Schizosaccharomyces pombe: one gene and its partner. The gene in region 1 interacts genetically with each later gene. Each region holds a gene or a part of one and is shown in the gene's direction. Other genes may lie near its edges. The genes, in order: nap1 and alp31.

Region 1 (4,886 bases):
TGCGGAATCCGAAGAAGTATGGAATAACCAATGATGTCGCTTATCTTCAATCTGCTTATTTGGAGCAAATCTCGGCATTACAGTATTGGAAGCAAGGACAGTATGAAAATTCTCTCTCTTTGCTTGAAACTTCCAAAATTGATCCTCGCGTAGTTATCTCCCTCTATCCAGATCTCTATCATTCGGAGCTTTCCTATATTGCTTTTCAAGGTGTCATTAGTTTTCGCAAAAGCATATTGTCCGTCGATGATACTGTTGCTAATGTTTTAAAATCTAATGAATTGTTTCGTGATACTGATCAATACACTCAGAGACAAATGATTGAAATTACTAAGGAAAACGCATACATCATGTTGATGCGTTATCTGAAAAATTACAAAAAGAACACGAGCATATCTGAGTATCTTTTATCTTCGCAAAGAGACGTGATGCTTGCTGTAGAGCATTCGTTATTACTCCTTTATTTAAATATGGATGATTTAGCCGCCGGTACCAAAAATGCTAAGGAGTTGTTAGAGTCTGGTCTAACTGGTGTTGAAGATATAAAAGATGTGTTGATACAGAAGAAAGAGTATTATTTACTCTCCGTGTTATTGGCTACTGTAAGGGATCACGATGGTGTTCTTCAAACTTGGAAGAAATTAATAACAGGGGATTATGAAGATCGGAGATTCAACGATGGGTTAATTAAAATACGAGAATATTTGGTTAATGATATTGAGCCTTCGACATTCTGGGAATTTACTACATGGCTTTGTAAACACGATGCAACGGAGGGTACGCGCGTTTTGCTTGACAAAACAGTTAGTGGATCCATTTCTGCAGAGGACGTGTTAGAGCATTTGGATTCTTCTCAAGATGATGTTTTGATTGATTACCTTGTAAAGTCGAATTCCGTCACTCATCGAGCGCTACTTTTAAAGTTGTGCGTTAATAAGTTGCTTGGCAGTTTATTGGATCATAACGATTTTAAAAATCGCCTTGAGACTGCCATTGAAACATTTAGGGAGCTTCCTTGCATGGAGAAACCTACGTATGCCCAATACTTGGAACAACTTTGGGGGGACATGAGTGATTTCAGTACTCATCTTTCATTTTACTATTTGTGTTCTATTAATCTGATGGAAAATGTTGAAGAAGAATCTATAGATAAAATAAAAGATATTTTGTTCGACATTCATGTTGACAATTTATATCTATTTCCTCAACTTGAACACTCGTTTTACAAAAGGAAGAAGAATTATGAAAAAGCTTTATCCGTTTTGGTTACGAATATTCATGACTATAAGGGCGGTGAAGCATACTGTCTTCAAATTGATGATGTTTATCCTCAGTGTTGGTGCAATTTGCTCGAAAAATGTATATCAACAGGAGATGGATGTAGTGATTTTATTAAAGAACTATTGTATCGTCGACCCTTTTCTTATACGCTTTCCTACGTGTGCGAGCAAATTCCAGATCATTGGAATCTTAACTTATTAGCAGATTTTTTGTGTATATTGCAAAAAAGAAATGCTGAGCGTTTGAATGAATCCCAAACTCGTTTAACACTTGAGAAGTCGTTGTCTCAAAATTTGGAAGAGTTGTTCATGGCTATTAATCGTCGTAATGTAGCCTTGGGCAAAAACGAAATTTAACCCAGTAACATTTAAAAAGTAACCTTTGGTTCAGCAAAGTTTTTACCTCAATTTTCGATACTTATTCGACTGATGTTTAATTTAATGATAGAATAATTTCAATGAGACAAAAAGATTCTAGCTTCAAAATGTTGTTAGAATATAAAGGGCTTTCTTCTACAGTTAATTCAGCTCTTCCTGATCTTTACTAGTCTTAAAAATATAAATAATATTAACTATGAGCCTAAATTCATCGAATTTTATTTTTAAAAACCCCCTTCGGGAATAAAGAAAGTGTCCGTAACACAACGATGCACTGTTCACTAAGGTCGGAAACCCCGAGGATGAGCTCGGAAGTTCCGCGGGTAGGTAGATTCCCAGGGTGCAGCAAATATTCTTACACTTAGCTTCTACCACTACCCTTCCCAGTGTTATTAAAAGGACGTACGGAAAGCGTCTGAAGCATAATTGATTGCTGGAACAAGTAGAATTAATATGGTAGAGAACGTTAATATTAATAACAAAAGGGCCGGAAAAATGTCTGCCGCCCCAACTCCCCATAACACCCCATCGGGGACGAGCGCTCCCAACTTTGGTGCGAAGGCTCCTCAAGTAAATACTATTGACGAAGGAGATGAGAATTTAGAGGCTATCGACGGAAAATTGGGTTCTTTATTACATCTCACTTCAGAAGGAGTTTCAGAATTGCCTGAAGCCGTGCAAAGAAGGATTTCTGGACTTCGTGGTTTGCAAAAGCGATACAGCGACTTGGAGTCTCAATTCCAAAAAGAGCTGTTTGAGTTGGAAAAAGCTTATGCAAAGAAGTACGCACCTATTTTTAAGAGAAGATCTGAGGTTGTTCGTGGCGCTGACGAACCTACCGAGGAGGAAATTAAGAAGGGTGAAGCTGCCGATGAGAACGAAAAGAAAGAACCTACTTCTTCTGAGTCTAAGAAACAAGAAGGTGGTGATGATACTAAGGGTATTCCTGAGTTCTGGTTGACCGCTATGAAGAATGTTTTGTCTTTGTCTGAAATGATTACTCCCGAAGATGAAGGAGCTTTAAGTCACCTTGTGGATATTCGCATTTCCTATATGGAAAAGCCTGGTTTCAAATTAGAATTTGAATTTGCTGAAAACCCATTCTTTACTAACAAGATTCTCACCAAAACTTATTATTACATGGAGGAATCTGGCCCGTCCAACGTTTTCTTGTATGATCATGCTGAGGGCGATAAGGTTGATTGGAAAGAAAATGCCGATTTGACTGTTCGTACCGTTACTAAAAAGCAACGCAATAAAAACACTAAACAAACTCGTGTCGTAAAGGTTTCCGTTCCTCGTGACAGTTTCTTCAACTTTTTTAATCCCCCAACTCCTCCATCTGAGGAAGACGAAGAATCGGAGAGCCCTGAATTGGATGAATTGTTGGAACTTGACTATCAAATCGGTGAGGACTTCAAAGAGAAACTCATTCCTCGTGCCGTTGAGTGGTTTACTGGTGAGGCTTTAGCTCTTGAAAACTATGACGGATTCAGCGACTTAGATGTTGAAGAGGATGAAGATGATGTTGAATCCTCTTCTAACGAAGAAGTTTCCGATTCCGATGAGGAGGACAGTGATAGCAAGCACACTGCTCATGGCCAGCAAAACGCTGCTGAGTGCCGTCAGCAATAAACAATTTCGATAATGTGCATATATTATGGGGTTAATAACAATGGGTTTTCTGTGTTTTGACTAAAGGAAAGATACTTGAAAAGTATGATTCTTGAGGTTTTCATGCAACATTTGTAAACCTTTTGTTGTACAGGATAGGTTCGGACCACATGTGAGTGCTTGCGGACGAGATTCTGCAAGTTTATAAAGTTTTTAAATATCTTCCAATTTATCGAGTTTTTTTCGTTTATCAAATAAAAATGCTTACAGTCGACGTGTTTTATTTTTTACTGGAATTGGTGGTTTTGAGATGAATGGCTTTAAAAGACCTAAACGACATCGTCTACATAATGGGAGGTGTGATCGTTCTTGGCGAATTTTCCGAGTTTCTAGTTTGAGTACGAAAGCCTTTAAAGATTTTGGAATGCTTATATTTGATCAATCATGATGAAAACGCTCGGACAAACTTGGACGTTTTAATATTTTCTTGCCTTTTTTTTCAATCAAATGCTTGCGAAAAGAACTAGTGATAGTTTTTTATTGTTAGTTTAGACCAAGTTGAAAACACTGACTGTAAAAATTGACCTTTAGTAAAGCTTAAAAAAGAGAACCCTTTTTACGAGCTTTTCTAGAAAATAATGCTTTGTTTTGACTTAGAAGTAAGCAATTGAGAATTCATAGTATGAATGGGTTGCATCCTAGTTAGTCTACTCTACCCAAGAAGTTGGGAAGGTATAACTAAACCCGATGTGTTTACATAAAAGGCTATTTCGAAAGAAATGAGTGTCAAAGTTTATCAAAAATACGATTTGTTTTTTTTTCGTTTTTTTAGACATAAAGAAGCTTGCAATTCTTGGAGTAAGAAGGAAACTAAAAAAATGCGGAGCGCATTGTAAAAGAGTGTTCGGTTGTTATAGTAAGTTCGTCTAGCGTTTAACAGATACCAGTTTTGTTTTTTAAAGTTAGAATCATCAAATAATGGAGATGATTACAATTGGGATGGAGGATTGCATACTACAATTTATCTTAGTCTAAATTTAAAGCATATTTGACATATCTCTTACAACATCTAATATTTTAATTTTAATACTTGCCTTAAATATATTATAGCTTTTATAATTTTCGACTTAGACACTATGCCTGAGTGGTTAAAGGGACAGACTAGAAATCTGTTGCGGTCTCCGCGCGCAGGTTCAAATCCTGCTGGTGTCGAAAATTTTTGGCAATTTTTATATTGAAAATTCTTTATATTCATTTGCAACTTAAGAATGTTTTTAGTATATAATGCAAAGGTCCTAAATAAAACAGCGTCCAATTTGATGGAATGCGTTTAGTTGTATAATATTGTTGCAGCAATTTGGTGGACTCAAAACACTGAAAGTCAATTCAAATTTAACTAAGCTCATGTGATATATCAGATTTGTTTGATTTATTATTTTTCCTCGTAAGTTTTAATAAAATGGATTCTACAAATGATCTATCAAAGGTACAAAGAAATAAAATCCAGCTAGCTACTACTAAAGGAAACAAATAATTTTAAAGTAGGGAAAACACACAAGTTATAGTAAATAAAAAAGAAAGAAAGAATAAATAAATAAATTAGTTGGGATACAA
Region 2 (3,518 bases), on another chromosome or scaffold:
TGTTCCCTCATTAACGTTCTACCAGTTGCCCGCATTGTTCCAGAAGATCAACCCAAATCTGAACGAGATGCAATAGCCTGGAGACTACCAGAGTCTTCATTTTACCCGACCGAGATCGTTTCCATGGTCGGAATCGAACACTGGAATACTTGAGACTTGGCGAAAAATGAGTATTATACAAGGGAAGAAAAGAAGAAGAAAATAAAAGGATAATTTATGTTTTACGGCAATAAAATAATGAATTAATAAGCAAGAAGTATTAAAATGGACTTTACCACTAATGAGGTTCTGTTTAGTAGGTTAGTAGTCTGTAAAAATTTGACAAGAAAAAATTTTCCGTTTCTTCAATTGAAGGGGAGCTCCATTTTAAGATTTGAATGGTCTGAAGAAATGTATAGATTGTATATATGGTTGTTACCGTACCGAAAAGACTATAATGAAAAGTTTAAGGGAATTCTAATAAATCCTTCTATTTTTCTTCTTGGCTGTCATCATGTTCAAATATGCAGTTTTCCGAACAACCTTGTATTTTTCATGGGAAAATGCGATTTGTTTCGTTTTTGTTAGCTTTGTTTGAATACCATTTTTTAACTTATGCGATACTTTCTAAACGGAGTTCACTTTTTAAATTAATCTATATCAACTGAGCCGTTCAATTCAATCCCTTTTTTTATATCAGCTTGTAAACAAACGTTTCAGGAAATGAGAAAGTTCAAAAAGCGTTAAACAGTGAATGCTTGTATGTTGAGCTTTGACTTGTTTGCAAATGTTTAATTGTCGAAATTCATCATCTGTATCTGTCCAAAGTTGTGAACTGACAAGATAGAGATTAATTTGTTAGATCACGCAAAGTACGATATGTTTAAAATGCTTATACCAGGTTGCAGTCTTTGTTTTTCATAGCTTTGCAAAAAAAAAAGTGGATTAAAATACTAATGACTACTAGGGTTCGAAAGGTTGCTGTTCGATTATGAAAAAGCGTTCACTCTTTTATCTCCCAAGCGATGATTTGAATTTTTGATGCATCTGTGGCGTAGAATATGATCAATCATTTTAGAAAACAGAATAATATTCAAGGATCCATTTAAAGTCCTATATAGAGTAAAGGATTTTAGCTATTATCCTCACATTGAAGACTGGTCCCATTATACCGAAGTCTGTTGACATTAATATCGTTGTACCGGCTTTTTGAGTAGACTAAATATCTTGTACAGGATCTACTTTGAAAGAGGGTATTAGGTCCTTTTTTTATTTTTTGTTTTCCAAGGATTAAGATAGAAGCTGAATTTTTTTGGCTAGGCAAAGTTGACTAATTATTAACAGACTGTGGTTCGAGTGATTAGCAATCAACCTATCCTTATATGAAATCGTGCTTTTAACAATTTCGGTTGTTGGGAGATAACTGTGTGTACGGAGAATCAGAAATTTTTGTTTTGGAAAATATTTGTAAAAGCAATTACGTCTAAATATAATGAATTACGCGCTAGAAAATTTTCATATAGCTGAATCCCGAAAAGCTCAACCTCCCATATGATTGAGCATCCATAAAAGCATGAAATTTTTGGTACAAGTATCGGTGAATCGTAAATTTAGAAATAACTGAGCAATTTTATCTCATACATAATATAGGAATGAAACGTTTGTCGATCAATAACTAGTCTGATACTTGATGCAAACATTTAATCAAATACCCTTTTTTAGGAATTTAAGGAAAGGGCTTTAAAAGAAATTGAAAACTTAACTAGAACTAGCTTTTCTTAATCGTTTCTCGTAACTTATCACCACACGCTAACATTAGCATTCCTTTGTATTCCAACGTTACCTACACTGCAGTCAAGGAAAATCATCCAACCTAACATTATTCCTTTGCATATCGCGTCCATTTTATTTTCTACCATGTCAAATACTGTTAGGAGCTTAGTCATCAAAACTAATGTCGTTAAAAGAATTATTAAAGATGTAGAAGTAAGTTTCCTTTTTGGATCGCGATTTTGTAGATGGAATTTTCTGACCTCAACAATTGTTTAGTTGGCTCATATCGATATTAACGAGGCCGAGAAACGTGTACAAAGTAAAATTGATAATGGGGAAGATTCTGCAGAAATTGAGCATCAGGTATGTTGCATTAGTTGAAACCATATAAACGTTGGACGTGTTGTGCTAGAAGATGTTTCTACCAAGCTGAAGATACTTTTCGGTGGTTTCCGCTTTAGCGTATCTTTTTTAAAATAAAAAATAATCAAAGTACTGACATTCTGGACCTCTAGAAATTTGTTTTGAAGAAGCATCTTGAGGCGTTGCCAGATGCTCTTGTACGTCTTCGTAATGCGACGAACGACTTGGAATCCATTTCTTCTGACAGTGCATACGAAGGAACTCCTGAACTTGAACAAGCAAATGAATATTTAGAAAAAGCAAAAGAAGTAATTGAAAAAGAGCAAACGAATTTCCCCACGAATGGGTACCACTGAATACACATTTACTAGCTTTTGTAGATCCCTGCTAAAATTTATTACTGACCCTTCAAAAGACGATCATGAAAAGGTTCTACGTTCATCATTCTTTACCCACCCTTTCAATGCTATCCTACTCAACTGTACTGTGTCTTCGATTTTTATTCCAATCCATTAAAATAATAGACAATCCCAACTACTTAAGGATTATCCAAGTCATGCTTAAATCTTTTTTAAGATTTCGCCAATCTATTCTAATTTTGCCAGTTAGGTGAAACTGTTCACATAAAAAAACATACGTATTCCCCTTTATTCTACTAGAGATTTAAATTTTAGCTGGACAATCAAACAATTTTAAAACAACCAAATGTTCCTGCTAACAAGCAGCATAGACAGTCGTCCTCTAGTATTTATTTGCACTTTTATTGTGAGTGTAATGTAGCGTATCACTATGTTAGATTGTACAGCTCATTGTTTGACGTTACTTACCATCTGAGCAAAGAGAAAGAAACACTTCGCGTGAACATTAAACAGATTGGGAGCATAAAACGTTCCATTTGTATACCTATGGCAAGTCCGCCAATATTATCAAGGGAATCACCTGTGTTGGGTTTAGAAGAAGAGAAGAAATCTGACGGCGGCAACTCTGAAGTAAATATTGACCCTTCTGCATCTTCATCGTTGAAGGAAGATGTAGATGGCGAAGAGGGAGCTGATACAAAAATAGATCCACACCTTCTTGAAGAAGATGATTTAAATCCTGTAGAGGATTACGATTCTAAAAACCAAAAAGTCGTTGAAGCATCTAAACTTGACCTTGACGCTACATCAACTGTTTGGGCGGAGAGTCTTAGTATTAATAGAGAAGCTAGTATTTCCCAATCAGGCATTGTAGACAATGAAATGGAGAAAAAAGTTGAAGAGGAAGAAGAGTTTGACGAATTTGACGATTTTGGTGAATTTGAACATGATATCCCCATCTGTACATTTATGGGTGATTGGCAAGATGATTTCCAAGATGCTGTCAATTCTGTATTTGGACTACCTGAAACTCCGAAAACAATT

The links.
Region 2: mutations in nap1 (region 1) and alp31 together harm fitness more than expected from each alone (negative genetic interaction), as found in Schizosaccharomyces pombe (2 studies listed by BioGRID).

The regions. Positions count from the first base shown.
Region 1 is NC_003421.2:472,797-477,682, reverse strand, and holds nap1 (histone H2A-H2B chaperone Nap1), read left to right. Parts: upstream 1-2,021; 5' UTR 2,022-2,111; coding exon 2,112-3,293; 3' UTR 3,294-4,085; downstream 4,086-4,886. Other genes in the region: GTPase regulator Vps3, read left to right, coding at 1-1,637.
Region 2 is NC_003424.3:3,375,252-3,378,769, forward strand, and holds alp31 (tubulin-specific chaperone cofactor A Alp31), read left to right. Parts: upstream 1-1,854; 5' UTR 1,855-1,896; coding exon 1,897-1,965; intron 1,966-2,028; coding exon 2,029-2,115; intron 2,116-2,267; coding exon 2,268-2,471; 3' UTR 2,472-2,649; coding exon of another isoform or gene 2,650-2,707; 3' UTR 2,708-2,752; coding exon of another isoform or gene 2,753-2,770; 3' UTR 2,771-2,817; downstream 2,818-3,518. Other genes in the region: SPOM_SPAC8E11.08C (uncharacterized protein), read left to right, coding at 265-567; SPOM_SPAC8E11.06 (uncharacterized protein), read right to left, coding at 2,650-2,707, 2,753-2,770, 2,818-2,843; SPOM_SPAC8E11.05C (uncharacterized protein), read left to right, coding at 3,021-3,518. UniProt on the Schizosaccharomyces pombe protein: Required for the maintenance of microtubule structures and cell polarity. Beta-tubulin-folding protein; may have a regulatory role in the tubulin-folding pathway.